Linked DNA regions of Sus scrofa. The protein of the gene in region 2 interacts with the protein of the main gene of each other region in a biochemical or structural test. Links are inferred from orthologs where the notes say so. Each region holds a gene or a part of one and is shown on either strand. Other genes may lie near its edges.

What was found.
Region 1: the proteins of KLHL20 (region 2) and DAPK1 are reported together in a solved structure, tested with the Homo sapiens proteins (2 studies listed by BioGRID and IntAct, with this or other methods). The link is inferred for Sus scrofa from reciprocal best matches to the Homo sapiens genes KLHL20 and DAPK1.

Annotation. Positions count from the first base shown.
Region 1 is NC_010452.4:27,738,074-27,741,719, forward strand, and holds part of DAPK1 (death-associated protein kinase 1), read right to left. Parts: intron 3,135-3,646; coding exon 2,946-3,134; intron 927-2,945; coding exon 729-926; intron 1-728. UniProt on the Homo sapiens protein: Calcium/calmodulin-dependent serine/threonine kinase involved in multiple cellular signaling pathways that trigger cell survival, apoptosis, and autophagy.
Region 2 is NC_010451.4:116,074,990-116,078,635, reverse strand, and holds part of KLHL20 (kelch-like protein 20), read right to left. Parts: intron 3,380-3,646; coding exon 3,246-3,379; intron 2,019-3,245; coding exon 1,810-2,018; intron 111-1,809; coding exon 4-110; intron 1-3. UniProt on the Homo sapiens protein: Substrate-specific adapter of a BCR (BTB-CUL3-RBX1) E3 ubiquitin-protein ligase complex involved in interferon response and anterograde Golgi to endosome transport.

The sequences.
Region 1 (3,646 bases), on a different chromosome or scaffold from region 2:
TTTTTGGTATGAAAAGAATAAAATAAGCCTAATCCATGCTGTCTTTTTCCTCTAGGAATAAAGCTAAGGCAATGCATTCAGTCAATATGGTTCCTTTTCTTTCCTTTTTTTTTTTGTCTTTTTAGGTCTGAACCCACAGCACATGGAGGGTCCCAGGCTAGGGGTTGAGTCAAAGCTGTAGCTGCTGGCCTACACCACAGCCACAGCAACCTGGGATCTGAGCCACATCTGCGACCTACACCATAGCTCACGGCAACGTCTGATCCTTAACCCACTGAGCGAGGCCGGGGATCGAACCCACAACCTCATGGATGTTGGTCAGATTGGTTTCCTCTGTGCCACGACAGGAACTCCCCTTTTCTTTCAGTTTTGATGAAAGCACAGAATGAAGCTACTCTGCCATTCGGTAAAGGTACAGGAGCTACCAAAAGAAGTAGTCCACTTTGCACCACACAAAAATGACTGCAGCTCTAAAATGTAGAAAGAAAGTGAGAAATAATTCTCAAGGAACTGCTCAGAATCGAGTCTTTCTGGCAGAGATACATGCTTGCAAAGCAACGCCCGGCAGAACAAAACTAACAGCTGAGCCTCAGCGACCTTCCAGAGTGGAAATTTCCTGGTAGGAGGGAGGAACAGGGGTGGGCGCAGCTGCTGACCACAAGCTACAGGATCCGGGGATGACCTGGGTGCAAGGCCAGTAAGAAGGGTATTCCCTCCCCCAGGCTCACCTATGGGTTCTTCAACCGGGACAAGAGACTTCAGGAAACTGAGCCAGAAAATCACTTGGTTCAGCTGGATCTCATAGGGTTCTTCCAGACTGAAAACGATGACATGGATGGATGTGGGATCGTTTGCAGCAAAATAGTCATAACAGCAGAAATACACGGGGTTTCCAGAGAACTCCCACACGCTGAAATCACCAACTCCTACAGAGAAAAAGGGAGGATTAGCGTCGTGGAACACCACCACCAAATTTCAATCATAATCAATTTTTCTCAGCACTTCTGGGATCACCCGCAGGGGCAGGGACATACATATGTATTTATGGATCCACCATCTATTTATTTCTGCATCTACTTATGTATAGATCTACACATGGAATACATATTTGTAGTTGTCTGCTTCTATATCCATGTCTATTATTGTTTTTTTTGTGGTTTGTTTGGTTTTTTTTTTTTTTTTGGCTGCACTCATGGCATGTGGAGGTTCCCGGGCCAGGGACCTAAGCCACAGCTGCGGCGACACTGGATCCTTAACCCGCTACGCCAGAAGGGGAAGTCCCTCCATGCCTTTTATCTATATATCTCTAAATCTACTTCTTTTTCTTTTCAGGGCCGAATCCGTGGCATACGGAGTTCCCAGGCTAGGGCTCCAATCGGAGCTGTAGCCACCAGCCTACACCCCAACCACAGCAACACAGGATCTGAGCCACATCTGCAACCTACACCACAAGTCACAGCAACACCGGATCCTTAACCCACTGAGCGAGACCAGGGATTGAACCCGCAACCTCATGGTTCCTAAACCTTCTTTCTGTTTCTGCTTATACATTTTCCTTGCACGTTCATTACTGCATCTGGACTTATATCTCTAACACTCCACACAGTGTGTGTATGTGCTTGTGTATAAGCAGCAATGGAAAGATGTATGAGTTACATATACACTTGGTTTTTCACTCCCAAATAGTGGTGTATACTCACTATGAAATGTAACCTTGGAGTTCCCGTCATGGCTCAGTGGTTAACGAATCCGACTAGGAACCATGAGGTTATGGGTTCGATCCCTGGCCTTGCTCAGTGGGTTAGGGATCTGGCGTTGCCGTGAGCTGTGGTGTAGGTTGCAGACACGGCTTGGGTGCCACGTTGCTGTGGCTCTGGTGTAGGCCGGCGGCTACAGCTCTGATTCGACCCCTGGCCTGGGAACCTCCATATGCCCCAGGAGCGGCCCAAGAAATGGCAAAAAGACCAAAAAAAAAAAAAAAAAAAAAAAAAGAAAAGAAAAGAAATGTAACCTTAACTTCGGTGAATTAGTAACTAAATTCACCTTCCACAGGTGAGTGAGGGACCAGTCCAGGCAGGTCAGAAGGGAGCAGGCACCATGCACAGGTGTAAGATGCAGTAGTTGATGAGCAGTTTTTTTGCAAGAAGGATGTGAGTGGAGCTGTGAGGAGACTGGGTCTGAGAGGCCACCCACACTGGGAGAGGGAGCAGAAGGGTTAGGCTGGGGAGGAAGGTTGTGTGTGTGTGTGTGTGTGTGTGTGTGTGTGTGTGTGGAAGGGGGCAGTTACATGAGCTGTGGGTGTGGCTGGTTTTCCCAGAAGTGTCATGGGTGAGATTCTGACCTGGAATTCCTAAGGCTCCAGGAACCCCCAAAGATGGCTCAGACACATGGACACTACTTGAAAAGGTGTATTAATTTACCCATCAGTTATCATCATCATCATTATTATTCTTTTGCTTTTCAGGGCCACATTCTCGGCACGTGGAGGTTCCCAGACTAGGGACTGAATCGGAGCTACAGCTGCCAGCCTACACCACAGCCACAGCCACTTGGGATCAGAACCGCGTCTGTGACCTACACCACAGCTCACGGCAATGCCAGATCCTTAACCCAATGAGCGAGGCCAGGGATCGAACCCACATCATCAAGGATACTAGTCAAGTTTGGTTACCGCTGCGCCACGAGGAAAACTCCACATCAGTCATTATTAAGCACCTGCTGTGTGCCCATTTCTCTGCCAGGTGCTGGGGACACCAAGGTGTTTAGCTTTGCTTTGAGGGGGTGGCATTAATCACTCCTCCAGTCCCGGCTCAGTCCTCGGGCTGCGCTGGCCCTTCCTTTGTCCCTGTACAGCTGTGACGGATGCCTGCCCCCACCGCTTCCTGGGGGAAACTGAGGCCAAAGGGAAATTCGAGGTTCTTCCCATTTGGAGGGGCGGGCCATACCATTCAAATAGGCATTTTGGATGTCGATGGCCTTGGTGGACTGGTCATCGGCGGAGCAGTGCGGGTGGTGGGCCGGGGCCCCGAACACCTCCAGCATCCCCTTGGTGAGGCCCGGCTCGAACATCATGCTGCGGCTCCGGACGCTCACGTTCTCACAGCCGGGGTACAGGTTGTTGATGCTCACGGAGACTGTGGGCCAGAGAGCAAGCAGGTCAGACTCTTCCTCCCAGCCTTTGCCTGGATGTCCCCTTTTCTGGGTCCCTCTGGGTCCCCATCCCACCGCTGCTTCAGGCTGGGTTGTGTGTGTGCCCCTTGTGAGCTGGGCTGGGCTGCCACGTTTCCCAGGGACGCTGCGCTGATTCTGTTGGCTCCATTCCCCACCACCCCCCACGCCCCATATCCTTCCTTGCACTGCTCTGTGGCCCCACAGGCTGACCCCATGGACCCCATCTCTCAGGCTGTCTTGTCATTTGCCTCTGGTTAGGGTCCTTCAGCAGAAGCCATGGAGAGGCTGGGAGGGGAGAAAGGCTGAGGCATTTTTTTCCCTCCTCACTCCCTGCTGCTTTTCTTTCTTTCTTTCCTTTTTTTTTTTTAATGGAAGTTTCCAGGCGAGGGGTCAAGTCAGAGCTGCAGCTGCTGGCCTATACCACGGCCACAGCAATGGGGGAGCCAAGCTGCATCTGCAACCTACACCACAGCTC
Region 2 (3,646 bases):
TACCTCCACGTATTGGCATCAGGATCAAAAACTTCAATGGTCTTCAAGTACGTTGTGCCATCAAAACCTCCAACAGCCATGAGCTGTCCATTCACGACTGCCAGGCCAACCTATGGGACCAGAACACAGTGGCTGCTGAAGAAACTAGAGAATCACTAGGAAAATTTAGACTGGTTTCTAGGTTAATCTCTTTAATAAAAGATAGTCCTTTAGGGCCTTACATTCTGGTTTACTTGAACACAGAGGGAAAAAGTAGTCACAAAAATCTATTTAACTATGGGAACTATAATATTATATATTCAATTAGAATATTTACACAGAGTCAAAAACATTTATTTCTTAAATTTTAGGTGAAGCAATTACTGGGAGTAAGCAAGAACCTCCAAACTGCTCTTAATTGTTTTGGTATTTGCCTGTTCTAGTCTACTATGTAAATTTCCACTGAAATTCTCTTTAAAATAGAGATCTAACAATGCTGTCACTTTCTGCTAAAAATTTTCTACCTCCCTAATGCCTAAAGGTAAGTGTAAAATCCTTATGTCATTCAGTTCCTCCAGACTTCTAATGCACTCTATGCTGCAGTAATGCTGGTTAATTGCTAGTCCCAGAAAATACCCTATGTTTTTATACCTACATATTTTGCACATGTTATTTTCTGGCTGGTGTTTTCTTTCCCTCTTCTAGAAAACTGTATTCTTCCTTCATGGTCTAGCTTACATGTAACTTACCCTGGTAAGTCTCTCCACTGTTCCAAAAGCATTGAATGTACTATTCCATGTTCTCCTATAATGCACATGCCGCTACAACAGAATGTGTTTTCTATAGTTAGAAAGAAACACTTCAATTTCCCTCAACAAATTGGGAGCTCCTTGAGGAGAGGAATCAGGTCATGCTTATGTTTGCCTTCCCAGCACACAGTAGGCACTTAATATTTGCTAAATGAGTGAAAATATAATCAACACAGTGTAGCAGTGAAAACAACAGGAATGTGACTAAGAAGCTGTTATTTACCAGTAATAAAGAGCCATAGATATGTGAATGCTTTGACTTGCTGATGCCTACTGGTGGTGTTCCTGCTGTGTGAAAACCAGAATTTACTCCCTTTTATTCTCAGGTTATGGAGTCTTTAGCTGCAGCTGAGTTCTCCCACCTATTATCCTACATTGATGGGCTCATGATATGATCAGTGGTTTATGGCTTGCACTTCACTCTGAGCCAAATGTCTTAGGATGTATAAATTCTATAGTCCACTCTCGAAGTCTCTTGCAGTCACAGGTCATTGATGGTCTAGAATATGACATAGGTCAGCCTGCTCTAGCCTATACTATAAATGGGATAGATGCAAACCAGTTTGTGGAGACTAGTGGTGGGGTCAGATAGGTTTCTGCTTTGAATTGCTAGGCCAGCTACTTAGAATATTACCTAAAAACATTAGGTAGGAGGAATTAACTCTAAGAGATTTGGATGAATCCATATACCTAATAGATATCAATGAATATGAGTAGAGTTAGATATGGTAGTAGCTAAGACAGAGAGATGCCTTTCAGAGAAGCAACTGTTACAAGATAAATCATAAAAAAATCATTCTCTAATTAAATATATGATTGGCTATAAGATATTTAATGACTTGAGATAACAGTAATCAAAAGAAGTTAACTTTTTTCCCAGTAGAAAAGTAGCAGGAATTGTAGTGCCTATTCAGTGCATCTCCTCACTGACTCAGTGTATTATATTTTACAGATCAGACTTCCCCTTCTGCACAGCCCTCTCCTGGTTCTTGTTTTTCAGTTTTCAGTAGTTGGCACTTACTCCACTACGGCGGGATGTCATAGCCACCACTGGAGACCACTGGTTAGTTCTGGGGTTATATCTCTCAGCACTGCTAAGCTCTGTAGTGTCATCTCTACCTCCTACGGCATAGATCATGTCCTGATACACCGCACAGCCTAGGTGTTTCCTCCGGGTCCCCATAGGGGCTATGGTGTGCCATCTGTTTTCCTGAGGGTTATAACGCTCCACTGCAAGGAAAAGAAAAACCAGTAAGTGACTATTCAATCATTTCCTCTCACCTCTAGCAACACTGTATCCTTAACCCTCTGAACGAGGCCAGGGATTGAACTTGTGTCCTCATGGATGCTAGTCAGATTAATTTCTGCTGAGCCATGACAGGAACTCCTCTAGTTTTCTTTATAGCCACTTTGCTTTGTGATAACATATTTTCAATAAGCAATCTCATATTTGCTTCTGAGAAGGACTTACCCACCTTTGAATAATACCACTATACTCTTGTCAGGGACTGGTTTCTTTTAGGTATGGTTGGTGGAAAGGGCAAATGTTGGAATCATGGTACCTTGTTCTAGTTCTGGCTATATAACTCATTAGCTCACTGACTCGTGGCCTCTCTCCTCATCTTAGAATGTTAGACTATATGATCTGTAAGTACCATTCCATACTGATAACTTGTTATAAGCAGACAATTTTTTTTTTTGTCTTTTTGTCTCTTCAGGGCTACACCCACGCATATGGAGGTTCCCAGGCTAGGGGTCGAATTGGAGCTGTAGTCCCCAGCCTATGCCAGAGCCACAGCAACACACGATCCAAGTTGTGTCTGCAGCCTACACCACAGCTCACAGCAATGCCGGATCCTTAACCCACTGAGTGAGGCCAGGGATCAAACTTGTGTCCTCATGGGTGTTAGTTGGGTTCGTTAACCGCTGAGCCACGACGGGAACTCCAGCAGACAGCTTTATTCTTGTTCCCCACTGCCTTAAATTCCTACTATATCCCAAGCCACCAAGGAAACAAGATATGTGACAGTCTGATGTCAGTGCCACACTGACAATGTCCTCAGGCAAAAATTTCTTTAAAGAATACCAGTTTATAGCTATAAACCAGTTTATAGCTGTGTTTTTACTTATTTTTAGATTATAACATAGAGGGTTTTGGGGTTTGTTTTTAAAGAAAGATAGTTGAAAGGAGGGGAATAATCATATTAAGAAAATAGTTCTTTTATTCATTATAAATTCCCACCAACTTGTAAAAGGAAGGGATAAAGAAATGCTTTTGGAATATACTAGTAGTCTATGGCTGCAGAAGGAGCTGAGGAAGAGTTAAGAGATGCACTCTAAAGGGAAAATAACGGTCTTAAATTATAGGATAACTTGGACTTGTTATACTTTTTATAGGAGGACTCTCCTAAGAAAACTTGCTTTGGGGGAACCAGACTGACCTTAGAAGAGACTAACCTGTGTTGAGTGGAGATGTCCCATCAGAGCCACCTACAGCATATAAGAAACCTCCTAACACAGCCACGGCCACACCCAGTCTTCTGGTACTCATTGAAGCCACCCGAGTCCACTTGTTCTCCTTTGGATCGTACCTGTGGTGAGAGAAACCAAAGACTATATATGTGCATGTTTTTATTAAGTGAAGCCTTTTCCATAAGGTATGAAATCATGCTAAGGATATGTTAGATACATAGACTTGCTATGGTCAAATGGACAGTGAGAATCTAACATATTTTACTTTATTAGAAAAAAAAAGAATTAGTGTCTGCATCACTTATTAAGCTATCTTCTATATGCTGATTTATGATGCTGGGGCTAGAACTCTGAAAACTACATCTCTCCTTTGCCAAGCTGGCTCT